Linked DNA regions of Yarrowia lipolytica. The protein of the gene in region 1 binds, or shares a complex with, the protein of each later gene. Links are inferred from orthologs where the notes say so. Each region holds a gene or a part of one and is shown on either strand. Other genes may lie near its edges. The genes, in order: YALI1_E31248g and YALI1_E05972g.

Region 1 (18,921 bases):
TGAATGTTAGATGATTCGTTGTGACGACATGTGCAGTAATTCGAAAGTTCTCATTGTGTATAATGTAATGTCACTCCAAGTTACGTAAGTCGGCGGATATTACACTTCAGGAGGAAATTATCATTTGTTTACTAATCCCTTCCTTTTCGGGAAATATGGTTGGCGCGAAATGTCCCAATCACCTGACATTGATATCACGTGGCGCCCGAAAATACTGACCCTCTATATCTGTGGAAATAATCATCACCGGAAAACATGCTTGAACCTCAAACATAATTGAGCACTACTAAACAACATAGCAGCCAGGTAATATCGATCGTCGAGAAAATAACGTGCTAGTGCTAAATCGCGCAATACGTTCGGCTGTTTTGTCTATTTCCGGATGTTTGTTTTGTTGGGTGGCAAAATGCCTCATGCTACAACCTTATTTGAGTCCGAAAACATTCCACTATTTTCAATGGGTGACATCTTCTCCGAATGGTGAAAAGCGTTCTCTTTTTGAGGTCGATTTTGACACGCTCTAGAGAAAAGTATTTCGAGCAAACTCCCAACCCCAGTTAAAACCTTAATATTTGTAACTCTCTAAAACTCTGATTAACGAGATGCATGGGGCATGTATGAAGCCTCCCAACTCCTGGAAAGTGACGATGGTCTGAGAAGGTATAAGCGAGATTGACTAATTGGGCAAAAATCAAATAAATTCAATAGAATTGCAACGAGGTATGTAGGGTACAAGATAAATCTGTATCCAGCCAATTGATCCTCATCTCTACAAATCAAGATAAAATACAATACATGTCATTCATTATAGTACACTGTAAACAGTTTTAATGGACATTAAAACAACCCAAAACCCAATAGATAAAATATAAAGCCTTCAAGAGACTTAGAGCTCCTGAGAAGCACCCTTGGCGCCCTTGGCGGACTTTCGGGGCAGAAGGTTCTGGTGGATGTTGGGGAGAACACCACCCTGAGCAATGGTGACGTGGCCAAGCAGCTTGTTCAGCTCCTCATCGTTTCGGATGGCGAGCTGCAGATGTCGGGGAACGATACGACTCTTCTTGTTGTCTCGGGCAGCGTTACCGGACAGCTCGAGAATCTCGACGGCGAGGTACTCAAGGACGGCAGCGAGGTAGATGGGGGCACCAGCACCAATTCGCTGGGCGTAGTTTCCCTTTCGCAGGAGTCGGTGGACTCGACCAACGGGGAAGGTAAGATCGGCCTTAGCGGATCGAGACTTGGAGGTCTTAGAAGAGGAGGCGGCCTTGCCACCGGACTTTCCACCGGAAGACATTGTGTGTTGTTGTTGTTGTTAGATAAAAGTGTTAGTGAGGAGTGGAAATAAAAGTGATTTTATTTCGCAGATTGTGCACTTGAATTGGTTGTGGAATGAAAAGGGTAGAAAGAGGGGGACACGAGCAGGTATATATAAGTTTGGGGGGCGTGAGGAAGGGTGGCGCACGGTAGCTTGGGGGTTCAATGTTATTTCCTGTTTGGTGCACGTGGAATGTAATGTTGGGAGGGGGTTACCGCCAGGAGTCTGTGTGTTACGTGTTGATGCGTGGTGTTGCTATCAACTGCTATCAGGTTTCTTTGTCTCGTCATTTCCTATTTGGGACAGTGGTGGGAATACTTTTGATGCAGCTCTAAATGCCATAGTATGCGTGGCGCTGTAATTTGGGAGAAATGGAGCCTATTGTGCTCGCGTTGGGAGTTTGTGCGTCGTGCTGTAAAATTTACACTCCTCTGCATATCAGAGAACGGCTGTTAGCGATTAAGGTTCTATCCAAAGTCACCTGGCTAGCACGCCCAAAACTCCCAATTGTGCATACACCATGGCCACGCACGTCGAGTCTAACCCACATCGTGCACAAATCCATTCACAGGACAAAAGTTATTATAAATAACCCCCCCTCCCCATCACATCACCTTCTTTCGATACACACCTTTATCATCCGCCTCAAATCGAGATAAAAGTTACACACTTTCAACCAACACACACAGAACACAATGGCCCCTAAAGTTGCTGAGAAGAAGCCCTCCCTTGCCGGAAAGGCCCCTGCCGGAAAGGCCCCTGCTGAGAAGAAGGAGGCTGGCAAGAAGACCACCACCGCCACCGGCGAGAAGAAGAAGCGAACTAAGGCCCGAAAGGAGACTTACTCTTCTTACATCTACAAGGTGCTGAAGCAGACCCACCCTGACACTGGTATCTCCACCCGAGCCATGTCTATCATGAACTCCTTTGTCAACGACATCTTTGAGCGAGTCGCCACCGAGGCCTCCAAGCTGGCCACCTACACCAAGAAGTCCACCATCACTTCTCGAGAGATCCAGACCGCTGTCCGACTCATTCTCCCCGGTGAGCTCGCCAAGCACGCCACTGGTGACGGTACTCGAGCTGTTGCCAAGTACTCTACCTTTGACAACTAAGCGCGCGCCTGATTGTCATCTTTTTATTATGTTTATTGGTTAACGGGTTATGAGGCACTGCCTCGTGTATAGTATTTAATGAATCTGCTATCGGATCGATTTGATTGTATTGTATGGCTCGAGGAATGTACGATACTGTGGTGCTTTGTCGGCCCAGAGGTAGCTGATAATCGGACTTCACTGTTTGTTTTGGTTCGTGTTCTGGGGTAAATATGCGTCCGTATCTCACTATCGTTCTGTAGCTACAGTATGTGTACTGTGATTACACCATAACACACCAGCCGAAACGTAATAGGGGACAAATAATACTCCATTTAATCACCAACACTGTTTGTACTTCACAATTACAGCTCACCTATCGTTGTCTTCCTGGTATTTTCATCCCCTCGGTACACTTGCATAGTTGTTCCGCTCTACTCCTCAATATCCAGCCCCAAACGCGTTCTGTGCATTAATTGATCATCTACGTGTGTGCTGCTGCACGTTGTATACACGTCCAACATACTCCCTTAGTTTGGCGCCATACATGAGCATAAGGGACGTAATAAGACGTGACGTGAAGAGCAGGGTGTAGAACGTGACGCGTATGTTTCATTGTTATCGTAGAAGTACTACTTGTAGTAAGACTGATGGGAATTGATGCATCCATATAGATTAGTAGTTTGATGTTGCAGCTTCACCCTGGTAAATCACGTCTGTAATCACGGGTATTTCTACTGGTAACTTGATCACCAATCGGAATATCTCGGTTGTCAACAAAAAAAAAAACTCCTCTACACTCCTCCTACAAGTACTTGTAGCCAGCCACTGCTACACGCCTGCAACGTACGGAATGCAACGCGTTTGCTAACAATGCTAACAGTAAAATCTGTTAGTGGTTAGGGTACTGATAGTGGTTAGGGTATGCTCCTGTTAACACTGTTGCAGCTCTGTTAGCGGTTAGGGTATAGCCATGTTGGTATGTGGAAAGAATGCATTCAGCTATGGAAAGACGTGCACATTGACGTATGGGACGGTGGGCATTGCTTGTAGGTGATGTAAGTCACGTGACTATTTCTTCTCCTCGTCCTTACTCAAGTGTCGCATAACAGCGTCGATTTTGTCCTGGGGAGATTGATCCTTGTCGGTTCGTGTTCCGATTCGGATATCGCTCTGGATTCGAACGACGCCCTTCTCGTGCAGGGCTTCGTGTGCCTTTCCGATGGTGGCACACACCTCATCCCAGGGTCCTTCTGTGGTTAGCTCATGTCAACGAGTGACAAGGTTGGTGTGATTGGCGTCTGTATCGCACGACATGCCTTTGTGTCCCCACAAAACTGCGTGTGGTGTGTGACTGTGTATGATCCACTCTCTGTGTGACTTGTCTGTGAAGCGTATGTATACTCACCGATGGTGGTGCCGGCACTGTGGAGGACGTAGTGCAGACCTGATGCCTTGATGACTCGAACCACGTCGGTCACGTACTCAGAAACTGAGGCGTTGCCTGTTCCAATCTGTGTTAGTCATATTTCGGGGTACATTAATTGATAGTATCGGCGTAACTCACAGGAATGAGGCAAAGGTCGGCAAGGCAGTGGAGTGTGGGCATGATGTTGTGTAATGTGTTGGGGTAGAGTGCATGAGATATGAGTATGTGGTTTATCATGTATATGAGTGTTGAATTGAGTTTGCCTTCGAACTGGCTGAGTAATCTGAAATATATACAGGAGCCTGAAATGTCTCAATTGTGGTTGAACACAGTTTATACGGTGCCTGGTGGCAATCATAGCAACCCCGAGTGTGTCGCAATTGCTCTCAAAAAAATAAGCTCTTCCACGGAAGGGCAAAAAGATGGCGACATCCGCAGGATTCGAACCTACGCGGGGAAACCCCAAGAGATTTCTAATCTCTCGCCTTAACCGCTCGGCCAGGATGCCATTTCGAACATAATATTTATTTTCTTGGGACGCAAACAACAGAACTCAGATGACTAAGCCGAATCATTAGAAAAAAAAAAAAAACGGTGATGAATCATTAGAATACAACAAAACAAAACAATACCACGAGACCACGACAAAGACAAGAACGAGACGAAGCGTCGACAAACCAACTGACGTGCGCCTCTCAGCGCACACCGCAATGATTCAGAAGTGTATGATTTATTGAACGCCAATAACCCGGCTTACAGCTTATTCTAATTTTTTTTTCTTCTTCACTACAGCTATATACCTACAGTATGTACTTGTAGTAAGCCGGGTTATTGGCGTTAAATAAATCATAAATCGTTTCGGTGTGCGCTGCGAGGCAGGGTTTTTTTTATTCTAATGATTCACGTTTTTTTTTTTATTCTAATGATTCATTATGTCACGTGATATATCTTTCCCATCATATAGGTCCAACCAAATTTATTGAATAACGGTTGCGGCCATTATCCTGGTGGGAAAAAATACGGCCTTCCCGTCCGATCAGCCATAGTCCAAGCACCAGGAGAGCCTAGTTAGGTATTGTAGTGGGGAGACCCATACGAGAATCCTGGGTGCTGCAATCTTTTTTTTCCCCTGATGGGAACTTGCACTGGAGTTTTGTGTGTCAATAGTCTTCAAAGGGCAAACAGTACAAGTAGCTACTCTTACATTTCTTCAACCAAGAAAACAACCCAGTCACTTCTCACCAAAATCATCCGAGGTCATGACGACACCAAGATTGTGCAGCCCCTCAAAGCGTTTTTATTGTGCTGACAGAACCTCGCTTGTAGAGTTTGACGTACGGGTGAGGTGGTGATGAAGAAGTGGTGTGCAAGTGGGATCCATATCGAAGTTGAGGCGTAAGACAGGATGGCCTAGGAAATTGGTCAGTCAATATTATAATCGGATGAACAATTTGAGAACGCCGTAATCCTCATATAGCTTTCAGATCAAGTATACGTTGTTGGAAGTCTACTGTAGTTAAGCACAGTCTAGTGGTTTTGTTGTGGGGCATTGGGGCGTGTGATATGACCTATGCACGAGTGAAAAAATGGGATATTTTATATGGAGATCATATCACAAGAAGCCAAGCTTGTATTGTTTTTATACCACCTACCTACTCTCAATGTTTGGTTATGGATGACATATATATCTCCTTTGTAAGGTAAGTGAGGTTACAGAGTTGCATGGAATTTTATTGTGGAGATGTGACGTTTGTGGGACCCTTCAAAAGAGGGGTTGTTGGTGAGATGTGTAAAATCTGAGCAGATCATAAGAATGGTGTTGGCTCAGATATTAATGTGGAGTACAAACTTCACCGCGTAAACCAAGTATAGGTGATGTCCACTTCTCCTCCTCGTCATAACCTGACTTTAACTTTGGACATGCATAGTAGACAATTTTTTTTAAATTGGATTTGCAACTTTTCGCACAGCACACAAAAATGGTACGAAGTCGTTCCAACTCCGTTAAGAAGGATTTGAAGCGCAAAGTCGACGAGCCTGTCGACGTGCAAGACGAGTTCGATGTCGAGGGACTCATTGATGAGGGCGACTCCGACGACGAGGATGAAGCTGAGCAGGAAGTGGCACAAGAAAATGTGACAAAGGACAAGAAGAACACCAGCAAGACTGAAAACGAAGAAGATGCCGACGATGAAAGTGACTCTGACGCCGAGCTTGAGGCACTCATCGGTGAAGAGGAGGATCTGTCTGGAAGCGAGCTGGAAGACGAGCTGGCTTACTTTTCTGATGCTGGAGACGACGAGGTCGACCCCTCGATTCTAAAGCATTTGGATGACGGAGTTCGTCTGCGATCTCTGTCTCGATCTTCCGACCAGACTGATGAGCTCAAGGACGTGGTTGAAATTGTGCCTGGAGCCGACGGCAAGCCTCGAATGATCAAGAAGGAAATCCATGCTGTCTACGACTCGGACGATTCGGACCAGGAGGAATCCAATACCATTGGAAACGTGCCCCTGTCTGCCTACGACCAGATGCCTCACATTGGATATGACATCAACGGTAAGCGAATCATGCGACCCGCTACCGGTTCTGCTCTGGACAACCTACTGGAGACGATTGATTTGCCCGAGGGATGGACCGGCCTGCTAGACAAGAGCACCGGAAAGGGTCTCAACATTTCCAAGGAGGAACTGGAACTCATCAAGCGGATTCAGAAGAATGAGACCACCGATGACGCCTCCAATCCCTACGAGGACCTGGTGGAGTGGTTCTCTTCCAAGACAGAGATCATGCCTCTGTCTGCTGCGCCCGAGCCCAAGAGACGATTCATTCCCTCCAAGCACGAGGCCAAGCGAGTCATGAAGATGGTGCAGGCCATTAGACAGGGTAAACTGCTGACAAAGCCCAAGGAGGACCCTGACGCCCGACCCAACTACGACGTGTGGGCCGACAACCTCACGGACGTCCAGGACCACGTCATGACTCTGCGAGCCCCCAAAATGCCCCCTCCCACCCACGACGAGTCCTACAACCCCCCTGCCGAGTATCTGCCCACCGAAGAGGAGATTGCCGAGTGGAATGCTCTTGCTCCTTCCGAGAGAGAGCGAAACTACGTGCCCAAGAAGTACACTGCTCTGCGACATGTGCCCGGCTACTCCGAGTCTGTTCGAGAGCGTTTCGAGCGGTCTTTGGATCTCTACCTGGCTCCTCGAGTGCGAAAGAACAAGCTCAACATTGATCCCGACTCTCTGATTCCCGATCTCCCCTCCCCCAAGGATCTCATGCCTTTCCCCATCAGATGTGCTACCACCTACAAGGGCCACAAGGGCAAGGTTCGAGCCATCTCTGTGGATCCCAGTGGAGAGTTCCTTGCCACTGGAGGCGACGACGGAACTCTTCGAGTTTGGGAAGTGCTCACTGGTCGAGAGCTGTACCGATGTCGTCTGGTGGCGTCCATTGATGCTCAGGATGACTCAGTCGAGTGTGTGCAGTGGAACCCCGCTGTCCCTGGCATGCTGGCTGCCTCTGCTGGTGAGCATATTTTCCTGATTGTGCCTCCCACGCTGTTTGACTTTGATATCGAGAACACCGGCCGAGAGAAGATTGAGCAGGGATGGGGTTTTGCCGAGGGAGGACGAGAGCAGCAGGATATCGATACCAAGGGTCTGGATGACGATGCTGACTCCGACTCGGACGACGAGACCGGTCACGTCAAGAAGAAGAGCCCTCCTGCCAAGTGGATCACCCCCACCGCCAAGCAGCAGGCCTCTGGTATTGGAGCCATCATTACCGCCACCAAAACCATCAAGCGACTCGCATGGCACCGAAAGGGAGACTATCTGGTCACTGTGGCCCCCTCGGCGCAGCACAGAGCCGTGGCCATCCACCAGATCTCTAAGCATTCGTCACAGTCGCCTTTCAATAAGTCCAAGGGTATTGTGCAGGACGCCATGTTCCATCCCTTCCGACCTCATCTGTACGTTGCCACCCAGCGATACGTGCGTATTTACGATCTGGCCAAGCAGGTCATGGCCAAGAAGCTTATGCCCGGTGCTAGATGGGTGTCTTCTCTGGACATTCATCCCCGTGGTGATAACGTGATCCTGTCGTCGTTCGACAAACGGCTTCTGTGGCACGATCTCGACCTCAGTGATAAGCCCTACAAGACCCTGCGATACCACGAAAAGGCCGTGCGGCACGCAGCATTCCACAAGGGTGGTCTGCCGTTGTTCTGCTCCGCTTCTGACGACGGTAATATTAACATTTTCCACGGCACCGTCTACGACGACATGATGACCAACCCTCTGCTGGTGCCTCTCAAGGTGCTCAAGGGCCACGATGTCAAGAGCGGTCTGGGTATTCTGCGGGTTGAGTGGCATCCCCGGGAGGCTTGGTTGTTTTCAGCCGCTGCTGACGGAACTGCAAAGCTGTGGACCACGTAAGGAGTGGTTCACAAGTGCGCGAGGATGTGTTGGAATCTTCCAATGGTGCATAGCAACAATGCTAGGAGGTAGCAAAGTTGTCGTTTAATAAAGATATTGATAGAACTGACGCCAGTAAAAGGTGCGAAGCATGAACTGCTCGGGCTTGACGAGTATGAGTACTTGTAGTACAAATAAGAGAAGTACAAGGTGTAGTGGGTGAAGAGTGAGTAGTGTGAGGGATATGGGGAGTACGAGCTGTGGTACAATACCGTGAAGCTGTAACACGAGAGCATGGTAGAAAAGTTGAAGCACTAGTAGGTCAGATCAAGTAGCGACAATGCCACAAATGCCCGTTTCCGTTTAGGTGGGCCCGCCAACTGAGCAGATCCCATAATATCGTTTCAAAGAGGGCTAAACTTCGCCAATGGAAATAGATCTGCATTAATCCAGACATATTTGTATGAGTGCAAGTAGAGGAAATATATATATATAGTATATATATATATATATTATATTGCTCAAATAGGGTGTGAAAGTCTGGAAAGATTGACATAGCTGCCACTCACCCTTGTCATAGTATTGTTCTCAGTAAATGATGGGTGCTGCCATCATTTGCAGTAGAGAAGTGCCACAATGTTTACAAGTCTTCCGAGTTACAAAGATTATAGAACAGTTCCAAGATAGTTATTTGTGCTTTTTAAAGTAACAGGTTCTCTATACCACTCCACGAGGGATATATCTACACATACAAACTACCAGTACAGTACATAGTGTACATGGACAACGTCCACGACAAGTTCAAGCCAAGTATAGGAAAGACTACGACTTTGTTCTAATTAGATAGTACAACTATTCATGTAACCCTTGTCTTCTAATCTCAAATACTCATACACACCTGTCTTGATACGATTCCTATCTCCACAACACACCCATACAGTACAAACATACATTAGATAAATATCTCCTCACGTCAGTCTTCCTCAACAACGCTCCTCCTAAACATAACCCAACTGTCTGAGGAACGAACCAAGCATCTTCAACTCGAACCACCGAGCGCACCGATCATAAATGGACAGCTCCTTGTGGACGTCTTCGGCAGACATGATAGTGACCCAAGAGCCAGAACAAGGACAGAACTCCGTGAGCTCATACTCTTTGACTCGTCGACACTTGTCGCAGCGGAAGTCCTGCGTCTCGTACTCGAGAATCATTCGCTGCAGCTGACCCACCAGCCGCTGCTCCACAATGACCATATCATAGAGCGAGTTGCAGAGGGGGCATCTGAAGCCAGATTTGGTGCAGCACGAGTCCTTGCATAGGTCCAGATCGCAGGGGTTCTTGCACTTGAAACACATCATGTTGGTTAGCTTGAGCGACATGGACGGATCTCGGAACGTGCCCTCCTCGGAAAACTCGTTGATATCAAAGATGTTAAGAAGGTCTCTGAGCAAAATCTGGACTTCAAAGTTGGCCTTGGCGTTGATGCCGTAAATGTGGCACACGTACTTGGCGAACTCGACCACGGGATTAGTCTCTGGCTGGATCATGGACCCGGGAAGCACGGGGAACTTAAAGGCGTCAATGGAGTCGCCTGAGGAGAGAACATCCGATAGCTTTTGAGCCAGCAGCTTGACCCGTCTCACGAGCTTGGGATGCAGGTAAGAAACCACACCCTTGCCAAAGAACTTGTCGCTCAGAAGGGCAGCGTCGTCCTTGTCTCCGTCGGTGAGCATGGGAGTGTCACTGGGCATGTCGTCAACATCAGTAGTTCTGTTTTCGGGGTATTTCCGCAGCCGCAACAAATGAATGTACTCCTGGACCCACTTGGAAAATTCCTGCTGTAGAGTCTCAGGCAAGAAGTTGGCAATGTGCCAATGCATCAACAGAGACTCGCTCTGCTTGGAGGGGTCAACAATGACGTCAGACGAGTAGCCCCCGTAGTTCCACTTGTCCATCCACAGGAAGGTGTCCCAGTAGCGAGTAATGTCGACAGAGACATACTTGAGAATGGGATGGGTTCTGATCTGCCGAACAATGTAGTTGGAGTACGAGTACACCAGCTGAAGCTCCGTCTTCTCTGTCTGCAACACAAGCTTGTGTTGATCAGCGTACACCAACTGAGCCTGGTGCTTTCGACACTCTTGAGCAAGATACAGGAAGGTCTTCTTCGTCAGGTTCTGAGTGTGGTACAGCAACTGGGGGGAGAAAAGACGCGACTCAGGCGCATAAACCCACACTGTGAAGTTGTCCAGCAGATCCTGGGGAGGCCGTTTCTTGTCCCCGTGCTCCCACCACTCCTTGACCACCATTTTGAGGGTTTTGAGGGCGTGGGGGTTGAAGGCGTTGGAGAGAAGCTCGTTGTGAATGTCTCCCTCAGTATCCTGGATCACAGCACTCTGCAACAAGGCGTTGAGCACCAAATGCTCGATTTTGATCTCGAAACAAATGTTGGTGTACAGTCCAGGATTGTTGGCGACAGGCACTTCCGCCTGGTCAGTGAGGGCTCCTCCGGTAGACAGAGCAGCAGACCACCACAAAACGACACTGTTCTGGATGAGCCGACGAGCGTATGATACGTCAATCACGTCCCGGGTATCTTGCACATGACACAGAGGCATCTTGGCATACCGAGCCATCTCGACAAGGTACGAAATGTTGGCTCCATGTGACAAGAACGATGCAATCAGCCGTCGAACCAGATCCCGTTGCCATCCAACAGCAGCAGTAGACGGAGGAACGGGTCTCAGCCGAATACAGGGGATTCTGGCCAGGGCAGCCACCTTTTCATCCACGTTTCTGTCCGGAGAATGGAGTGCAAACACCAGCTGGCCGTTTCGGGAGCCAGACAGTGAGTCACACGCCTTGGACACCTTCTGCAGCATTCGTCGGTGGTTGGAACAGTACTCCACCTCGTACTGCATTGTGTCGGGGAAGGAAAAGACGGTGCAATCGTCCATGTTCTGCTTGTACCGTTCTCCACGTCGCAGACGGGCGTACTCCTTCGAGATGTCAGGTAACTTTTCACTGGAAGACGACTGGTGCACAAACACAAGAGCTGGTGCGTCCCAGGTGGGTGTGATGACAAATATCTCCACGGCAGAAGAAACCACGTGCACAATGTGAGCGTAGGAGAGTCCTGAGTTTTGCAGGTAGGACCGCGAGTCACCTGACTTGAACCATTTGGCCTCAAAGCCATGGGTGAAGCCCTTGGAGAGGATACCAGGAGTGGAGGCATCAAGATGGAATGTGGATCCAAGCTCAATGAGGGCACGTGAATCAGGCGACACGTCGGCCTCGTAGATTTTCGTCACGTGAGGGTCCTTCAGCGGAGACTCCGGGTTAGTCATCTCCGTCTGGTACATGTCTTCAGACATGACTGCTCGGTAGAGGTACTTGGGTTGCTCCTCTTCAGCCACAGCCATGGCATTGGTCACGTCAGTGAACTTATCCCACTTCAGCGGCTCACGAGACCCCACGTACACCTTGCGCGGCACATTGATCTGCACCCGTTGCATCTTGTCTCCGATGATGACGCTGGCCTCCACCTGGCCAGGTTTTTCGGCAGCATGGATGGACACCAGGTGCCAGGCGTCTTGAGCCAGGTGGGCGTTCTTGGACACCCACGAAGAAGCGATGCCATTGTCGGACTCGCCAAAAAGATGGGCTCTTCGGTCTCGCTGAGCCTTCTGATGCTTCCACTTGACCTTGGCGTACTTAATGTAGGCTGCATAGTCGGCGAACGGATCGGGGGCCTTGTGAGGAAGAGAGGGAGTGGACTTGTCCGTTTCCTCAACAGTTTTGCGCACTCGTTTAGACACAACCACTCGGGCAGGCACTCCAGGGGGTCTGGAAGGAGAAGGAGTGGTCCCGATGCTTTCAATGTCGCCCACCTGGATCTCCATGACCTCATCTTCTTCACTGAGAATGGGCTCAGGAGTGGGAAGTTTACCCTTGACAAAATAAGAGCTCAGGGTGCTCTGCTTGATGGGGTTATCTCGTTGCTTGATGATGTCAGAAGCCCATTCGGGGGGATCACAGCCTCGAACGGGGTTCTTGAGACCCAACAGAATGGCAGGAATCACCACAAGCTTGTTGATAGTCGTCGCCAGACGTTCTCGATAGTACATCCAGTCAATGACGTCTCGGGGGTCCGTGGATTCCCATCGAGGGCCCATCCACCGTTTCAAGAACCGCAGCTTTTCGTCCAGAGATTCGGTTTCGAAAACCAGAGTGGGAATAGCTCGATCAGCAGTTGAAGAGTCCTCGTCGGAACCCTTCTTAGCCTCAGGAACAGGCATGGAGTTCTTGGTTCGAACCGCAATGATGTACTTGGTTGACAGCTTGCCTCCCGTGAGAATGGAGTCGCCCATAATCTCCGCTAGACGACGGGCAGTCGTCAGAGCAGTACTCTTCTGAGAGCCGTACTCATGCACAGGCTTGGACATGGACTTGTTCTCACAAACCAGGTCAATGAGCTCTTCGTCGGATAGGTTCTTGCCGCGAGAGTCAATCACTGCCAGCCAAGCTTCAGCCACTCGAGCCTGAGCAGCATAACACTCGACGAGATTGGAGCCCTCCAGAAACGTGTCCCACAGCTGTGACTGAAACTTTTTGATCAACGACAGCTCTCCTCGTCGCTTGACCTCGAAGCCCTTAAGCTCGACAATCTTATTGCGGTCGTCAAAAACCACGTACCGCTTTTTGAGACCCTTACCCTTATCAGTCGACGTAGGCATCATCATGCACTTGTAGGGTCCGTCGAGCTCGAAGAAGATGGAGTTTTCTGAATGAGTGTCGTACTTCCCAGTCTCGGGATTCAGCTTCTGGTACTGGTGGTTGGTAAAGTCTCTGTGCACCAAGTAGTTCATGATAGAACAGGGATACTCAAGCTCGTAGCTGGAACCATCCTTAAACTTGCACTTGAACTTCTCGGGGAAGGTCTTGGGCAGCATACACCAAATACCGTCTGTATCGAGCTCAAGAGGAATACCAAGACCTTCCATTGTCTGACGGGCAATCTTGATGATCTTGGCTCCAGTGTAACAAGTCACACCGGCCATCTCCATGGAGTACCATCGAGAACCCTTTCGCATAACATAACCGTAGAAGGAGTTGAGAATGACTTTGTGGGCCAGCTGCATCGAGTCGTTGGTGATAGCCATCTTCTTGGCCTCCTCTCGAGACGCAGGATCGGAAGCAGAAGCAGCCTCCTTGTTCCACCTTTTCGCCTTTGTCTTGTAGTCGATTCGACGCTGTTTGAACTCTTGCACAACATCGACATAGAAGGGGTTTTCTCGCTGGCAAACAATGGTCTTTTGCACAGTCGTCTCCGAGTCCGTCTTTCGAGCCTTGGTCTTGAGCGAAAAGGCCGCCACTCGCTCCTTGAGCTTGTTAGCCTGCTCCTGACCAGACAATCCAGCCCAGCCCTTTCGTTTCTGGAACTTTTCCCGCTCAGTCATACCTTCATCGTACGAGATCTCGACAGATGAGCCGTTTCCGAAACGACCTCCGGAGTACTCCTCAACCAGACCCTGCTTTAGGTTGTTGACATCTCCCTTTGACACAGGGTAATAGTCGACTCGTCGAGCCCACTCTAGTTCACGTGCGCACGTCTTGTCGGGACGGTTGTAGTCACAAACAGCACAGTCCTTTTCGTCTACCATGGAGTCGGGCTGAAGTCGGTTGGTCGTCATGATGTTGGGGTACATAGACGCGACATCCACGTGGTAAATGAGCGGGTAATCGGATCGCTTGGGGTTGGATTTGAGCTCCTGAAGCTGTTCGATGATCTGGTCTCTTACTTCATCCAAGTTCTCAAAATCAGACGATTTCTTTCCAGCCTCAACAGTGACGCAAAACTCGAGAGTCTCGTCTAAATTGACCAGTAGCTCGTCGATACTGTTAGTATCAATGTCGAAATCGACCATGATGTCGCTTCGAAACACGCCAGCAGCCAAGGACTCCACGTGGCCACCGGTGTACGTCTCGTTATCGACCAGATGACCCTTGTAATGACGCTCAAGAGCAGGTTTGTGCTTGTCGGGAAGAATGATGCGTCCCTCATAAGCCTTGACCATGAGGAGCATCTCGCAAAGAGTACCTGTACCTTTTCGTAGCACTGCATCGGGGTTGAGGGGAATAATGCAACACAGAGAGAAGATGAACGGATGCACATACTTCATGTAGAGATAATAGGTGGCCACAGCATCGGAAACAGAATATTCCGCGAGAATCTGAGGATGGTCTCGTGCATAAGGAGTCATCTTTTCCGGATCGAGCTCCTTGGGATCGTAACTCAGCTTCACCTTTGTCACAGCCTTGAGACCCTGAGAACCCTGAGGCAAGTACGAGTCTCGCTTGACCCAGTTGAGACAGTCCATATGCACACAATAGGAACACTCGTATCTCTCTTCCTCCACCTTTTTCCATCCAATCTCGTCGTAGAGATTCATTCCATGGAAGGCTGTTCGTTTGTCGATGAATGGGAAGTCGAAAAAGTCTCCGTTGTAGGAAGTCATCACCGTGGGACACACGTCTCGAATGTGCTCAAACCACTTTTCCAACACAGCCTTCTCGTTAGGCTCGTTGAAAATGGTGAAATTACCGGGGAATTCGGGCTTGGGAGTGTACTCAAAGTCCTCAATGTCTTCACTCACCATTTCTCGGTTGGTGATGAGGAAACCCTCGCCGTCAATCATGTACGAAATCATCATGATTCTGTCGACGGCTGAGTCGGGGAAACGAAGGGGAGCCTTTTCGGTCTCAATGTCGTATGCCATGACGACTGGATCGGCTCGGTACTCTCGTTCAACCATGTGTTTGAGCACAGCCGTGTCGTTTTCCTTGGTGACCTCGTACCAGTTTCCCACACGAATGTCCAGATCAATGGCCACTCGGGTTTCAAACGGCACATCAAATTCCTTGATGCCAGTGATGGATGATTCTACGTCTGTGCTGGTGTCCACATCGCTGGGTTAATATTGAACATCTTGTTTGAAGACTGACCACGTGACTTCAACACAGTCTTTCTCTTGCCTCTCCCCTCTTTCTCTTACTCACCCTTCAAGCTCATAAATGTTGAGATGCTGCTCTGTCTGCTGTGTCTGTCGGTCGACAATCTTGCTGAGCGTGAAACGTGTCGAGCTCAGATCCTCCGAGTTGTGAAATTCCAATTTCACCGCCTTTCGTTTCTTTCCTGTGAGATGGTTTGTCTGTGTTAGCCAATTGTCACACACGGCTTAATAGCAAGAATTACAGCAGTAAGAATCACAGCAGTAAGAATCACTCAGCAGTAATGGACTCACTGCAATCAGCGAGATGCTGAGAGTTCGTTATCTCTCCCACTCATTGCAATGTCTGCCACTCAACTCATCCAGGGCTGCTTGTTATCACTCACCAAGTTCAAATCTTCCTTTGTAACAATTTCCGTGCTTGCGAGCACCCGCTCAAACATCTTTTCCATGAGATCCTTCACCGCATGCTCAGTATGAGGCTTGCAAATGACAAAAAAGTAGGGCCGGAACACCACCGTCGACTTGAAGTTGCCTCCCTCCTCGTCGTAGAAGTAGTAGTCCACCGCTGCCAGGCCCCGCTCGGCCGTTTCCGACTGTAGCAACGTCTCGTGCATGTTGACCAGCCACCCGACTCGTTTTTCATCGCCAGAGAAGCGAGTAAAACCCATTCGGTCGTCTATGGCATCTCGGCGTTCGACTGCGGCAAACTTTTGACCCAGCTGCTCGATCCGCTCCAGCCTTCGCCGCTCAAACTCGTCACTGCGCTGTTTCACCACATGGGTGTTGTTTCCGTTAAAAGGTCGACCCATGGGTGTTATGTAGTGTGGTGTTGAGATGTAGTTATAGTGGGTCAATATTCAGACGCGTAAAAATATTGGTGTAGCTGTACACCCAACCTTATTCAACCAAGGGGTGTTTTTCTACCGTGCTTTTCACACAGCAATGGAGGAGATTTGAGATAAAGATGGAGCTTGAAAGTGGATATTTTGACACTTAAATAACCATTCAAATCTTTAAAATGCTCAAAAAGTGATCTCAACTACCAGAATGAAGGGGTTGTTTGCGTGGTCTGGAGAAAACACCAACCAAAACTGTAATACAAAAGTACAAGTTCAAGGTAATGTAAGCACACTGAAGTTTCTGCATTTCCTCATGTATATATATATATAATTTGAAGTTGTTCTAGAATGGAAAAATGTACACATAAGAATTTCCGCATGTTTTCGAGGTCGAATGGCCATATATTGTCACCCTCAAACGCCTTGTTTCGTCTTGTAAACCCCCCCTCACTCTATGACACGCTTCTAGTACACAGCTCAAAGTTTCGCGTTGCGCCTGTCCCAATTGGGATAATTAATGGCTCTATGATGCAGTCTGAGATTACTAGAGATATGAGGGGGAAAAATGGGACGCGACTTTAAATTCGTGGAGTTGATTTTACTCATTTTGAATAGTTAAATATCTAGTTAATAGACTAACTCTTAACCTGTGACAACTAACGGTAAGCATAATTAAACCGCCAAAAGTTGCTACGGCCAAGATTACAAAGCTGAGACGGCAATATTTTCCCACTCAAACATTTGCGTCTACTTGTACCTTAAAAAACAGTCATATCCTGTTCTTACACCTCTCCTAATCTTTAATTTTACCCTATTTTTCCAGCATTTTTCGGTGATATTCATTCTCTAGAAGTTTTACGGATGCAATTTCCCGATTGGGTAAGCCCGCACGATGAAGTGTGAAGTGTTTTTTCTCAGCCCAACTCTGCATGCTTTTTGCAAACATGTGATTAGCCACGATAAGCCTTCCTGTTTAGGCATTTGGATGCGGTGTGGGTGAAATGTATGAGCTATAGGGTGAAATTTTGGGACAGCACGTAAGATGGAGGAGTTCTGAGGAGTGGGCGGGGATTAGATGCCTTGTCAGAGGAGATTCGAGTGGTGATGTGGAATTGGGTTGTTTTATGGCCGTATAACAGTTCATATGTACGTTACATTACTTGGGTTTAGTTGAATAATTTACATTTAGTTGAGAATAGTTGGCCATGATTACCATAGTTAAGGGAAGCCGCATATCTCACTTATACTCCGCGGAAGCAGCCAGTGTGTATATCTTTACACATCCGAAGACTATCTCAGTCTGCGCATAGAGATTCCCACTGTGGAAAAGCCACTAACGAGTTTCTGTCGTAACCCTTGTCTGGCCCGATAAGATTGACTAGCTCCAACTCTGTACGATGTTGGATACGTCAATGGATGGTTGAAGTGTGTAGATATGGAGTCAACGTCTTATTCCCGATATCCCCAAGTCTGATATCAACTCCCTGAATGATTCTGTACGTCTAATGGCCTCAAAAAATACAAACATGCCTCTCAATCTTCCCTTCTATATATCTGCCCCTCTCTGAGTCACCATTACCTGTGGTTACTTGTACTATTGACTTTTGACCGGTTCTCGCTTTAGATGTCTTGTGGAAGGCTATTTGGAACTCTGTGTGAGGAGTCTGTCTTGACGAGGTCAGTATAAGAGTATGCTGTTGGCCTCCAGAAAGCCGTTCAAAAACAACGCATTTTCTCCAGCTAAAAAAAAAAAAAAGCGTTAAAAGCTACAGCTACTTTCCTTGCCAAGCCACATCGCGCCAACGCACCAGAGCCCTCGCTTATCGGGTGGTACATGTTGTACACCAAATCTGCACCTCAACTTAGTACTCACGGCAAGGTCTTCACCGCCACAACACATCCCCTCTACAACTCCCCACACACATGTCGTCATACGACTCGCACCTGCTAGGCTCGTCGGCCGAAACGGCCCCGATAGCCATCTCGGAAACGCCGCAGAAAAAAAAAGGCGGACATTTCAACCGAACCCCAAATTCAGCTGGAGCAGCTTTCGGCTCGCTCGGTCGATCCGGAGTTCGAGTTTCATACAACTACTCGGATGAAGATGACGACGACGAAACCAACGATGACTCGGAATTCGACGATGCGTCGTCCATGTACTCTACACAGGCTGAGAGAGCCACCCAGGAACAGGAAGAGCTGCTCAAAAAGGCCCGCCCCCAGGCCAACTATGGAGGCACCTCTAACGGTAACAACAACAACAACAATAGCTACGGAGGAACCACTACCCACGCTCGAACCCGAGAAGAACGACGAGCAGTCTACAAGGCATTCGATGCGGCTGTGAGAAAGGGAGAAATTCAGACTACTGCCAGCACGGAAACGAAAACGATTCTCAAGTACTCGGCTCCACTAACCATGACCTTCCTCATGCAATACTCGCTGACTGTCGCATCGGTCTTCTCCGTCGGCCATCTCGGTAAGAATGAGCTCGCCGCATGTTCTCTGGCCTCCATGACCTCCGCCATCACAGGTTTTGCTGTCGTCCATGGAGTGGCCACCTGTCTAGATACCCTGTGTGCACAGGCGTACGGCCGAAAAGACTACAAAATGGTCGGAGTTCATTTCCTGCGATGCACAATCTTTCTGTGGATCATCGCTGTGCCTATAATTCTCTTGTGGGCCGTTTTCGGACGTCAGCTGCTGCACCTGCTGCTCGACGATCCCGAACTCATCCATTTTGCAGCCCTCTACCTCGAGGTCCTGGCCTGTGGTTTCCCCGCTTATATTCTGTTTGAAAACCTCAA
Region 2 (13,638 bases), about 2.5 Mb from region 1:
GGCATACCTGAACCCTCCCCCCGCTGACACTGAAGGCAAGGCTTACTCGTGTTCTGGACAGTCTCTGGAGAAGTGCTCTCTTAACTTGCACGGCTTCACCGAGCGAAAGGATTACCGAGATACTTACACGTCTGCCTCTGCTGTTGGTATGATGATCGGTGTCGGTAACGTCGGAGAGTACCTCGAGGGATACCTCGACGGAAACACTTACCTTACTGTCGATGGTGGTATCACTTGGAGGGAAATTAAAAAGGGAGCGTACATGTGGGAGTACGGAGACCAGGGTTCTATTCTGGTTATTGTTGACGGAGAGGAGCCCACCAACGAGGTATTCTTCTCTCTCGATGAGGGTGTCACCTGGAACCCCTACAGATTCTCTGAGGATCTTGTCAAGGTTGATGATATTTCCACCGTGCCCAACGATAACTCTCGACGATTCCTGCTTACTGGTAAGTCTCCCCGGTCTAAGGGAGAGCAGTCTACCACCGTTCACATTGACTTCTCTGGCCTCTCTGACCGACAGTGCAAGCTGGACGAGTCCAATCCTGACCGAGATGACTACGAGCTGTGGTCTCCCAGAAACCCCACTCAGCAGAGCAACTGTCTGTTTGGCCACGAGACTCAGTACTACCGAAAGCTGGTCGACTCCAAGTGCTACATTGGCAGACAGCTCATCCAACCACACAAGGTTGTCCAGGACTGTGAGTGCACTCGAGAGGACTTTGAGTGTGATTTCAACTACGTCCGAGACCGAGACGGAACTTGTAAGCTTGTCAAGGGTGCCAGTCCCCCTGATCACGCCCTCCAATGCAAGGAGAACCCCAACCTCGTTGAGTACTACGAGTCTACCGGCTACCGACGAATCCCCCTGTCCACTTGTAAGGGTGGCCAGGAGCTCGACAAGGCTGATGCAATTCCTTGCCCTGGTAAGAAGGGCGAGTTCAGCAAGAAGCATGGTGGTGGACTTGGTGTCATCGGCACATTCTTCGTCATTATTGTTCCTATTGCCATGGCTTGTGTCATTGGATTCATGATCTTCCAGCACTACCAGTCCAAGTTTGGTGTCATTCGACTGGGCGATGAGGACTCGTTTTCCTCCAGCTCCAGCAACCCTGTCGTCCAGCAGGCTCTTAAGGGCCTGGCTTACGTTGTTGCAGGTATCACCATGATCCCCGAGGCTCTCAAGGGCGTCGGCGAGTTCGCTCGAGGCATTTTCGGCCACTCTGGAAGTAGCAACCGACCGTGGTCAAGAGACTACGCACCTGTTGATATCAACGAGGACGACGAGCTGCTTGGAGATGACATTGAGAGCGATGCCGAAGAGGTTATCTAAGCTCCACATATGTATAAGATTAATGATTAATGAGGTGAGTATGTATTGTGTCGTGTAGCTCTAGAAGCAATCTACTACTCTTATGTGCGTGTACTTTCACCAGGATCGTTGAGACATCGCACAGTACAAGTAATTGTTACTTGTGTGTTTGTTTACATGTGCCGTGGTGATTGTGGTACATCTCAAAACTTTCGGAAATACCGAGTATATTCAACTTTTTTCGTCAGTAACTGTTGGTCAGTAGCAGACTTGTCGACATCGCTGTGTCGAGTCGCTGGAGGGGTCCGCTGTGATTTTCACTGGATCAAAGCGAGCCATTGCCTAATGGCCAACCAGAGTGAGAATTTGAGCAATGTTGATGCAGTGCTCTCTACTTCGCTGTAAGAATATTTCATCTCGGATTCATCCAAATCTCCACCCATTATCAATCTATGCATTAGTCTATTTCTTGGCTCTTCGTCGTCGCTGGGCAAGCTCTGGTAGCTTAAGCGGAGCCTTGAGCGAGGCAATCTTCCAGTGGCTAGCCTCGGTTCGAGGTCGTCCGATATCATCCATGTGAGTCAGAGAGGCGTTCTTAATGGCGCATCCCACCTGTCTGCAAACGTCAGCAAGCTTGGAAGGCTTGATTCCAACCTCCTGCGACAGAATGGGAATGTCTACAACGTTGTTGTTGAGTCTCAGCACAAGAATAATGATAGTACACAGCAACATTGCCTCATTTCTGGAGTTGACCATGTAAGTGTGGTACCGTTGTGATTTGTGACCACCAGAAAGGGGAGTGGTGTACCGGTAGAGCATCTGGTCGATGAGGTACTCTGGGGGGTTGTTGAGTCTGGTTTTGATATCCTCCCGCTTCTTGACGTGACGATCTCGGTAGAATCCAATCAGCAGAGACAGATAATAGAGAAGAGAGGTCTTGTACATGGTCTCGTCGGTCTTGTCGGTGATCTTGTAGAGACTGTCTCGCACCATTTGTGAGGTTCGGTAAGGAAGCATGTCCACTCGCTTGCCGATATCCTGCTCGTCCAGAATGGCCTCGCTTCGAATGTACCCAGCCTCCTCGTCGGTGAGGTATCCCTCAACAGGATAGATCTCGTTGACATCCAGAGTCTCGAGGTTATGCTTAGGGATGGGTCGGGCATCATCCATTGCCATGGACACCTGCTCTTGAGTGGGTAGGTTGGCAGTGGCAGTAGCGACAGCCTCCACGACATCGTCCTCAAAGTCAACAAGCTCGTTGGAATCAATGTTGTTTCGGGCCAAACTGGCAAGGGTCTTCTTTGCCTTGAGAGTTCCAAACTCGTTACCCAGGTTGACTCGCTGTTCTCTGTAGGACTTCTGCTCGGTGTTCTCAGCGACTCTCTTGGCTAGTTGCTTGGACATGGCCTTCAGCTCAATGCTTTCGGCGGGGACCAGATCAGCCAAGCCCTTAGAGGAAATTACGGCAACGCAGTACTTCTCGTGGTCCACAGGCACACTGGTGTATCGCATTCGGGAGCTTTTTCCCTTGATGGAGGTCTCTCCATTGTCAGACACGGACGAGAACTTGGCGTCCTTAGGGATGGACAAATGACCGCAGTCAGAAAGAAACACCTTTCCATCGTCCTGAACCTTAGCGACCTTGATTTTCGTCAGCCGCTTGCTCGAAGCCTTTCTCTTTTTGTCGCTGGCCATGCTGGTGTGTATGTATCGTGGGTTTGAATAAAGATATTTTCGAGCACCAGATTTTTTCAGGCTTTGCAGATGAGCTGCAGGGTTAGGTTATTGTGCTGATAGAGGAATCGCGAAGACTGCGGATGTAGGACTTATTCAAGGAAAGCAGATTGTAAATGGTAACTATTTGACAATAGCATTGGACAACTGTATCATTTTCAATTCCTCTGATATTGTGATGATCTGGCTACACTATCTATAAATTTTGCCTCACAAAATTAGAGTTCACTATTAAGAAATTTATGTGGACCTCGACATCCCACTATGAACAATTACTGTGTATACAAGTTTTCAAGTCGTTCGACTTCAGTACATGTACGGGTCTTGACTGATTCCCGCCGTTCCAGTATTCTACCTCGAATTCGTCTTTGTCGTATAAAATATCTCTCGTGGCTCGTCCAAATGATGAAGTACGTGCTTAATAATCTCGCTACCTTCATGAATTACTGCAACAGTACAGTACAAGTACAAGTACTGTACTGTACTTGTATTGTATTATGTAATCCCGATTTTTCTGAATGGTCCTGCTCATTGTTTCCAGCCCCACTTTCATTGCCACTATTCTCAGCCCCTTATAGTACACTCTCACATTCGTACAAACCGGTACATACTCTACCAGACTTTGTATGTACGAATACAGTAGTACCTTGCACTTGTATGTATGTGTTCTCGTACTCGTATCGTAGGTCATGTGACATTCTCTGTGTGTGTGTCTTACTACATGCTATTACCCCCTCTCTACCGTACATGGCCCACCCACATATCTCCGTATAACAGGACAACGGACCGTGAAGCACCTGACACAGCTCATATGACACAGCTCATATCCCAGAAGAGGACTCCGTCCACAGGGTCATCGTGGGCATCGGCCCCCTTGTGGTTTCTTTGTCCTTCTTACAGTAGTGCCAATAATATCCCTACACATGTAACCTTGGTCTTCACGTTAGTGGTATGAAAGAATGAAAGCAAAAGCTGGGGAAATGTGGTAAAAAAATACTAGAACGAGTGACCTGTTTTTGGTGCTTGTAGAGTCGAAAATATTATACTTATCTTAATAGTCACGTTACGCGCGGCCGGCACACGTATCATATCTCCGTACATCTTTGTACATCTCTCAAGCGGGTACACTTTATCACGTACCAAGGTCATGCGGAAGGATGGTCACACAGCAAGAGGTAAATCTCAATGCAGAACCGTGAGTGCTAAAAAATACTACCACAACAAAACAAGAGCGCGAACGCATGGTGCAGAAGTGACAGTTTTGCTTTTCTCCGACAAGCACGATTTTCTTCTTGTGCAGGTACCTACACCTTCTCTCTTTTGCTATAAATGGCTTGATTGCGCTATTCTCATCCTTACACACACACACACACACACACACACACACACACATACACACATACCGACGATGTTGCTACAAGCGTTTGTTTCTGTTTTAGCACTTCCAGGGTCTCTAGCGCTTCCGCTATTCGATCAGAAGCCTCTGTTGCTGGCACCATACGCGAGACCAAACGTGACACTCATTGACGCCCAGAAATTCGAGTTGTGGCTCGCTCAGCAGACTCATCACGCCTTTGAGTCTGTCCTCGACAATGTGGGACACCAAGGTAGCAACAACGGTCTTCCCGTAGGCGTTGTTATCGCTAGTCCCTCTAAAACGGCCCCTGACTACTATTACCAATGGACTCGGGATGCTGCCATCACCATGGACTCAGTTGTGCGGCGGTTCTATGACCAGGCTAGTCAAGGTATACTGAACGACACACTCAGCAACATCATCATGGGATACATTGAGACTCAAGGCATGTTGCAGCACGTCAGCAATCCCTCCGGGTACTTTGACTGGAACAGACGTGTTGTTAGTGGTTTGGGAGAGCCTAAATTTGAGACTGACGGCTCAGCATTCACAGGGCACTGGGGTAGACCTCAGAATGATGGACCTGCACTCAGAATTAAAACGATCTCGCATTATATTCAAACCCAGGTGGAGTGGAATGAAACAGCTTCTCTCGACGACTATGTGTATATCTACAAGTCTATGATCCTACCCGATGTCGAGTACATTCTACAGTATTGGGATCAGCCGACTTTTGATCTCTGGGAGGAACTGGAGGGCTACCATCTCTTCACTTCTCAAGTGCAGTTCAACGCTCTCATTAACGTCGTGGAACTTGCAAGACATTACTCAGATCGAGAGACCGAAAGCAGATGTACATTCACTGCTGGATCGATTCGACAATTCATCAAGACACATTTCGAGGCTGGTTCTCGGCTGAATGCACAATTTGAGCCCAGAAGTTTTGGAAGGTCGGGCCTTGATTCCTCCATATTCTTGGCCGCTCTTGACTCGGTTAGATGGGAGTCTAGCATAGCTGCAGGTACATCTCTCAAGCCCTACGACGATCTTCTCATTGCTACTATCATGCCTTATGTGCACTCCTTCGACTACCCTATTAATCATCAACGATTAGCTGAGTTCGAGGAGTCTTTCCAGGATGAAAATCCTGGGTACGTCGCCGTTGGTGTTGGTCGTTATGCTGAGGACGTCTACGATGGAGTGGGAACCTCTCATGGCAATCCTTGGTTCATCTGTACCGCTACCATTGCAGAGACCATATTCTTCATTGCTCACCACTTGGCCCAGCAGTCGTCTGATTTTGTTCTTGAGATCAATAGTCTCACCAAGGAGTTTTATGGTACGTTTGTGTCTTCTGACCGCATTGCTAGAGACTCCGAAGAGTATCAGCATCTGTTGGACCGTCTCGTTGACCTCGGTGACTCGTTCTTGGATGTCATCAGAGAGCATCAGGCTAACAATGGAGATATGTCGGAGCAATTCAATAGATACGATGGGTTCATGCAAGGAGCTGAGAAGCTGACATGGAGCTACGGCAGTTTCTGGTCTGCTGTTAGAGCTCGCCAGGAAGTTATCAAAGGGACCAGTGGGAGGAAATGAATTGTTAACAGCGGGGGCTGTCTCATTGCTACAATGGTAGCCGGTGGACATTACGAGTCCGCCTAAGAGAAGATGTGACTAGACGATGATATTTATTTATTAAATGCACAAATGAATGAGACTGCAATGCACAAGTACCACCTTGTGTATCAAATTCATGTGTTTATCGTCATTACTACAAGTAGGCGGTTGCAGAGAAACCTCATGTATTATCAGCACTGTAGTATACTCGTACAAATAATTCGTCGTCTAGACTCGTTACTCATTACTACGCTATATACAATTAATCCTCAAAGTCCTTCTTTCCAACGGGCACTTCCAGTCCGACTCTTCGGGCAGAAAGTCGCACTCTCTCCTGATCGGCCATATCCACTCCAGGGTTGTATCGGGCCAGCAGGTCCTTGTAAACTCGCTGGTTCTCCAGAAACAGCAGCATGTCCTCGGCGTGCTGGATCTGTTCGGCCTCTCCGGTTCCGTTTGTGAAGTACTCTCTGAGAGCAGTACTGTTGTAATGTGAAGTTCGGGGTGTGGGCAGCTTCTCAATGGCCTTGGGTGTAGTTTTCTTCTGGATCGCCTCGTACTTCGCCTTGGCTTCGTTTCGCTGGTTCTCACCGTTGATGTGGACGGTCATTGCAGCGACATACTGCTTTGACAGCTCTCGATAGAGCGATCTGTAAAGGTTTAGGGACTTCGACATATTGTTGATGCCGTTGATCTGATCAGGATCACGATTTTGATAGTGCTACTTGTAGTTTGATTCTGCCCTGATATCGCGAGTTCAATTTGGGCTGTTGTACCCGTGGTTTTTGTTTAAGGTTTGGATTCTGTGTGCGCGTTCGATTCTCATCTGCGTCATCGACACTTAGAATTGTGGAAATGTGCTAACCATATCCGCTAGCGCAGACGTTGTTCCCAAGATCAAAGCTAGTTCACCGGCTCCCCAAACTCCCACTAATATCCATTATCCGGGTCGCTCCGGATCGTGTTTCGGTGCAAGGTTTTTCCTACTTTTGGCCAATGGGCACTGCACACACGCAGACTTCGAAGTCAAAGAAGAAGTCAAAGCTGGATGGGAGCAAAGAGAGGAGCCAAGGGTGCAAGTATGACGAGACAAAAGAACGCGGTTATTGGAGCAACCGTGAGTATGAGACACCGTTGGACGTCTCAATTGGCATCGTTAGTCAATTTGAACGTTCCGGTCGACCTCCACCGATTATTTCGACACCCCTTAAGCCCCCATTCATATCCCCCCTGCTCGGAGCTAAGCGGATAAAAGCCTCTATGGTCGGGTACCCGGACGGATGTTGTTTTTCCGATTTGCATGGAGATATGTGGGAGAAACGTGTACATGTAAATGAATGTAACAATGTAAATTTTTTGGCGGAGTATGGTGCAGCTGACAGGGTACAGATGGAGCCGCAGGAAAAAGTTTTCCAAGTAGTATATGGCCTAGGAATATCGAATGGCTCGCCACGAGCCCAGTGTGACGTGCCAGACACTCTTTTTAATGCCCCTGGCGCAGCTCTCTTCTTCAAGCTTGTCTCCTTCGAAATAGAGGTTTCGCTCTGACGCCGTGTTTAAACCTCGCCGTCCTTAATTTCGTAAAAGCTTTTTTTGCATCCTCCCACATAAAACTCTCTCTCTCTCTCTTCTTTAACTAGGACACCTTTTGGCAACATCTTGTCGTCTAATCGAAAACATATCCACATCCACAATGCTTCGAACCGCCTACCTGGCTAAGGTGAGTACTCCGGGCGAGTCAATGGAGGTGACTCAAGGTGCAATGGAAGCACCGCTCCATGGCACAGCGATGCGCGCTACATGACCGACGACATCTGTGTACAACCCATAACATTTTCTCGGAAACAACAACAGCATCACAGACAGAGACTCGGGGCAGGGGAAGACGCCATTGAGACCAATGGCTAGTGTATGTCGCAACTCCGGCGCCGATTGCTCCACAGTCTCCTACTTTGGTCCTGTCCACGTCACCACCACCCCCGGAACATCTATGCGTGTATTTATTTTCCCTCCACTATTTTTTTTCCTGCATGTGCTACGGAGAAAAATAGTAGCGGGCAGTAGCACACTGTGTGGGGACAGGGGAATGGAGAACAATTGAGGCGATGCGGATACGAAGACACCTGTTTACGTTGTTGTCGCACGCCGCTGCTGTTGCTGGTGTGTTTTGTGTTAATTGCCGCACACCACAATAACTATCATCGACACCAAAACATTAGGATAACATACTAACCCAGGCCGCCTCGGCTCTCCCCAAGCGAACCCTCGCTACCAACGCTCGAACCATGTTCCAGCCCAAGGAGTACGGATCCAAGTACACCGTCACCCTCATCCCCGGTGATGGTATCGGTAACGAGATTACTGACGCTGTCAAGACCATCTTCAAGACTATCTCCGTCCCCATTGACTGGGAGGTTGTCAATGTCACCGGTGTTGGCGAGAACCATCTCGACGGCTACGAGGAGGCCATTCGATCCATCAACCGAAACAAGGTTGCCATCAAGGGTATCCTCCACACCCCCGTTGAGAAGCACGGTCACACTTCTTTCAACGTTGCCCTGCGACGAGAGCTCGACATTTTTGCTTCTCTCGTTCTCATCAAGAACATCCCCGGTGTCCAGACCCGACTCGACGGCATTGACATGGCTCTGATCCGAGAGAACACTGAGGGTGAGTACTCCGGTCTGGAGCACTCCCCTGTCCCCGGTGTTGTTGAGTCCATCAAGGTCATCACCAAGCGAAAGTCCGAGCGAATTGCCCGATTTGCCTTTGACTTTGCTCTCAAGAACAACCGACACAAGGTCACTGCCATCCACAAGGCCAACATTATGAAGCTTGCCGATGGTCTGTTCCGAAACACCTGTAAGGAGGTCTCCGCCGAGTACCCCGAGATCCAGTACGGCGACATGATTGTCGACAACGCCTCCATGCAGGCCGTCTCTTGGCCCCAGCAGTTTGACGTTCTCGTCACCCCTAACCTTTACGGAACCATTCTGTCTAACATTGGTGCCGGTCTTGTTGGAGGCCCCGGTCTCGTCCCTGGTGTCAACCTGGGTACCGAGCACGCCGTTTTCGAGCCCGGTTGCCGACACGTCGGTCTTGACATTAAGGGCCGAGGTACCGCTAACCCCACCGCCATGATTCTGTCTTCCGCCATGCTTCTGCGACACCTCAACCTCGATGACTTCGCTGACGTCATCTCCAAGGCTACCTACGACGTTCTTGCTGAGGGCCAGGTCCGAACCCCCGATCTTGGCGGCAACTCCACTACTGACGAGTTCACCATGGCTGTTATCAACAAGCTCCAGTAATTATGTATGATTTAGATGATATTATGACATTGAACGAATTATTGATGAGTAGTGGGTGTGATGGATTTAGTGTGGATGTACACGGTTCTTGTAATAATGTGCCATGCTGTATAACAATCGCCTTTCCGCAGCTGTATCTATGGGTATGATTAACTCTGATGATCCGGAGATAAACTAATCTTAACCACTGTACGATACATATACTGTAAGATGGCACCCTGTGGTTTAACCCTTGTAGCAATGTGTTTAAGCAAGGGAATATTGTGATAGAGAAGTGTATTTGAAGTATGTGGCTGGTACGGTACTTGTACGAGTGTGTTTGTGTATTCTAAAGATGGACATTCCACATATTCGCTGGTCAAGGTGTTTTGTTTGAGGATTCAGTGAGGCATATTTCTTCACTGGGTGTGATGGAGTTGGGTAAGGTTATAGGTTTTTACCAGAACTTGTACTTGTAGAAATACTGAACAACTATATCACCGTGATAAAGAGTGCATAAGAAGGTGCGTTGAACATGATGTTTCGGCGCGCAAAATCGAGAATTTCAAGTTTTTTGGTCGGTACTTGCGATAAGATGAGTCCAACTAAAATGTTAGATTTTCAATACCGCTCAAATTGCGTGTTTATGAGACTTCTTGAAGCCGTGATTCTCCCAGCTTCTCCGAACTCTACAAGGTTCATACCGAGATTTGGTGATGAGTGGCAATAGGAGTGCAGCGGTTCATTGAGGGCGAAATATCAGAAGAATGAGAAGATGTAGTTATTTCAACAGTGCACAATGATATTATATGCTCACGGGACTCTGAAAAGCCTTTGAACGCCATATTTCAGCCCAATCACACTCGCCCCTCTCTGGAAAATAAACTCGACACGTGATACCCTTTTCCACCTGGGAGTGAAAAGTATTCGTTGTTGCTCAAGACAATCACACACATCAGTCACCCAAATCACAACACAAGATGGATCAATTGAACAACCGAGAACAGCAGGAGTTCCAGCAGCTCGTCGAGCAGAAGCAGATGAAGGATTTCATGCGAGTGAGTATTCCAAATTTCTTGATGACAACCACGACAACAGAACAGAACACAACACCACACCACACATACTAACCCAGCTCTACTCCTCTCTCGTCCAGCGATGCTTCACTGACTGTGTCAACGACTTCACCTCCAAGGCTCTGTCTTCCCGAGAAGAGTCTTGTCTCGAGAAGTGCTCCGAGAAGTTCCTCAAGCACTCTGAACGAGTCGGCCAGAGATTCCAGGAACAGAACGCTGCTCTTATGCAGAAGAGATAAAATGTACATATTAATTGATCCCTGTTCGAGTTACTAGATGAGGCGGTGCAACCCCAATGATTGTGTTTGATGTTGCCCTTGTTGTACTTTGATATTGTATTTATTCTGCATCACTATCATCATCTGCCCGGAGTCTGATCATACTGGACTGTGCCACTCATAGCTGCACCACTTTAGTTGCAACTGCAAACATGGTGTTATACATTTGTAATCATTATCAATCGTAATTATGTTCTACTCCCCACCTGCTCCCCGAAACAAGGTCAAGAGAGCATCAGTCTCCTGCTGCATCTCTCGAGCCCACAGGTTTACATCAGAGTCCCAAGGGTTGTACATGATGGCGTTGGCAAACATCTTGGCGACCTCACGTTCAAGCTCAGAAGTGGATGAAATACGTCCGTCCTTGACCTGGGCCTTGATGGTCCGGATGTCCGTCGGCGAAAAGATCAACTCGTAGTAGTTGGGCGCACTGTTGGGATTGACAGGGTGTGTGAAGAAAGACGCAGATTTGTTGGATGAGATGTTCGAGAGCAGATTGCCAGCCACGTTCTGAAACTTGCGGTTGGCCGAAGGGGCAGCAGAGGTGTTTCGGCGCGACCGCTTTCGCGAATCAGAGTCTTCAGTGGTAGATCGTGCTCGCTTTCGAGTCCGTTCCTCGGATCCAGGAGTAGCTCCTGCCTCTGGAGTTTCCGTCACCCGGTCTAATTCGCTCTCATCGGGTTCTTCTGTCTCTCCACGGTCGGTCTCCACGTCGGCAGTCGTTTCCTTGTCGGACCCCGACTCCTCAGCCTCCCTCGCGTCCGACTCGACATCTGCCTCTGCACCATCAGCCTGCTCCTCTTCATCCTTGTAATTCTGCTCTTCAGCCTCAGCCTCAGCCTCAGCCTCAGCCTCAGCCTCAGCCTCAGCCTCTACTGTCTTCTTTTCGGTCTCGACCTCAGTGTCCTTTTCTTCCTCCTTGACCTTTACTGACTCCACATCAGCCTCTGTAGTCTCAACTTCAGCCTGCTCCTTCTTACTGCTGTTTTCGTTCTCCTTCAATTCCTCCACAGCGTCAGTCATCTCTACGTCCTCGTCGTCAGATTTCGTCATTGATTGCTGAGCTTTTGAGGCCTCTTCCTGCTCTTTGCTAGCTTCTAGTGCCTCCCGTCTGGCCTGTTGTTCTTTTTCCTGTTGTTCCTTTTGTAGTCTCTCCTTCTCTAGTCTTTCCTTCTCTAATCGCTCAGTTTCGGCCTTAATCTTTTTATCCCGCTCCATCTCCTTCAGATGCTTGAATTTCACCTCGTCGGCTTTCAGACCAGCCACCGTCTCGTTGTACAAAACATGTCTGAATCCATCCACCAACTTGGCCAAACTGCTCAGAGCGAGTTCCTTTTCTGCAATTTTCGTCGATGAGATCATCTGACGCCACCACTTTTGACAATGGGCGGCAGTTAGCGAGGAAGGGCCTCCTGTCATGCTGAGAATGTCGGGTTGAATCAATGGGTGTTTGGGAACTTGTGTTGCCATGTACTCGGCGATAGGTTGGGGGATATCTGGTAACACGACTACCGATTTGACGCTGTTGTCGATCGCGTACTTGTAGAGAGTCTGTGCGTATATCAGGTTGGCCAGAGACGTCATTATGATGGCTGGGTTGAGGTGGATAATGACTGTTTTGGTGGAGATGATATTTATCCCACGTAGAGTTGCGCTGGGACATGCATATTCAGAGGTTCGAAAAAGTAGACGAGGTTGAGAGCCACTAAAGGGGTGATACAATGAGATTCTGAAGCAAAAATTCACTCGGTATATAGTAAACAGTCTTATACAAAGATTACGCTTACACCCATCTCGTCAGCCACTCCCTTTATTCACCTAACCATCTCTCTCTACCTTTTTTAGAGCTCTTCTCCCTTCTCCACACCCAAACTCAAATGCGCGTCTACAGTGCGTGCTAAATTAAGAGATCCACTCACTGTGTACTTGACAACCATTGACATGAACGTGACCAACATATTTCTGGACCACTTACGACAAAACGACCATGTGGAATCCGTGCCTCAGATGATCCAGACCCCATCGGGAATGGCCATTGTGGAAATCCAGGGAGAAGTGGTCAGTAAGGCACATTTGCAGGAGGGATCAAGACGCGTTGGATCCATTGAATTTGAAGAGAAAAAAGCCACTCTGGTGATTGACGGGAAACAGCGAATGCGAGGATCGATAAAGAAGCTCGACAAGCCTCTGGGGCTGCTCAAAATGGACCCCGAAAACCGGCATCAGGTAGATCTCATTGAGATTGTCACCCACAAGGTCTCCTTCACAGACATTCCCGAGCCTGTTGGAGCGGAGGAGTAGAACCCATACACTGTCGAGTTATGAAAGGTCTGCTCGGCTGTAAAGAAAGGATGTGCTCTACTACAGCACATACGCCCCAGTTGCCAGCATTCAGTGCATTAAAGAATGCTCGACAAGATACACCAACAGTCTCTTCTTGACTCACTGTGAACCGCCTCAAAAAAAACAGCATCAAATCAACATATTTATAGGTAATAAAAATGCATTGTAACGACATGGCTGTAAGTATTAAAATAATTGATTGGAATCCGATTCTTGTATTTGCTTATGACTACTGGCGGCTATTGAAGGCACAACAGCACTCTTTAAAACACCCTCATGATGCGAATGCGCACGGAAACGATCTTTTACGCTCCTCCAGTCTTCAAGAAGTGATTCCTGGAGCTACATTGTTCGAAATCCTCGCCTATGACCCATATGACCTTCGGTTAGCTACACAAGTCTTTTTTTCCCGTTGTCACTATCAAAAGCCTAATTGCATGCATCTCACGATAACCACAGTGGTGCCTCGACAAGCAGTGATTGACATTCTTCTCAACCACCAACATGCACTCTCACCACTCGCACTCGGGACAGTACGTCCAACACGCTAAGGATAGTCTTGAAGAATGTGTCCAGGCAGCCAAGGACAAGAAATTCGACGTTTTCTGTCTCACAGAACATATGCCTC

Evidence for each region.
Region 2: the proteins of YALI1_E31248g (region 1) and YALI1_E05972g are in contact, whole or in part, in a cryo-EM structure (PDB 6S2F), measured with the Saccharomyces cerevisiae proteins. The link is inferred for Yarrowia lipolytica from reciprocal best matches to the Saccharomyces cerevisiae genes POL2 and CTF8. Residues at the interface, in NP_014137.1 of Saccharomyces cerevisiae: Arg1025, Met1036, Leu1037, Glu1038, Glu1040, Asp1041; in NP_012061.3 of Saccharomyces cerevisiae: Glu40, Lys87, Gln88, Arg128, Leu130, Pro131, Met133.

Annotation. Positions count from the first base shown.
Region 1 is NC_090774.1:3,122,030-3,140,950, reverse strand, and holds YALI1_E31248g (uncharacterized protein), read right to left. Parts: upstream 16,085-18,921; coding exon 15,659-16,084; intron 15,474-15,658; coding exon 15,322-15,473; intron 15,232-15,321; coding exon 9,258-15,231; downstream 1-9,257. Other genes in the region: YALI1_E31396g (uncharacterized protein), read right to left, coding at 887-1,294; YALI1_E31389g (uncharacterized protein), read left to right, coding at 2,011-2,430; YALI1_E31369g (uncharacterized protein), read right to left, coding at 3,481-3,662, 3,818-3,923, 3,977-4,018; YALI1_E31351g (uncharacterized protein), read left to right, coding at 5,818-8,280; YALI1_E31229g (uncharacterized protein), read left to right, coding at 18,038-18,921. UniProt on the Saccharomyces cerevisiae protein: Catalytic component of the DNA polymerase epsilon complex which participates in chromosomal DNA replication.
Region 2 is NC_090774.1:596,211-609,848, reverse strand, and holds YALI1_E05972g (uncharacterized protein), read left to right. Parts: upstream 1-12,608; coding exon 12,609-12,968; downstream 12,969-13,638. Other genes in the region: YALI1_E06109g (uncharacterized protein), read left to right, coding at 1-1,333; YALI1_E06068g (uncharacterized protein), read right to left, coding at 1,775-3,007; YALI1_E06065g (uncharacterized protein), read left to right, coding at 3,311-3,820; YALI1_E06056g (uncharacterized protein), read left to right, coding at 4,194-6,002; YALI1_E06031g (uncharacterized protein), read right to left, coding at 6,286-6,699; YALI1_E06028g (uncharacterized protein), read left to right, coding at 7,020-7,571; YALI1_E06015g (uncharacterized protein), read left to right, coding at 7,717-7,743, 8,261-9,334; YALI1_E05994g (uncharacterized protein), read left to right, coding at 10,294-10,371, 10,449-10,628; YALI1_E05975g (uncharacterized protein), read right to left, coding at 10,863-12,251; YALI1_E05963g (uncharacterized protein), read left to right, coding at 13,515-13,638. UniProt on the Saccharomyces cerevisiae protein: Essential for the fidelity of chromosome transmission. Required for the DNA replication block checkpoint.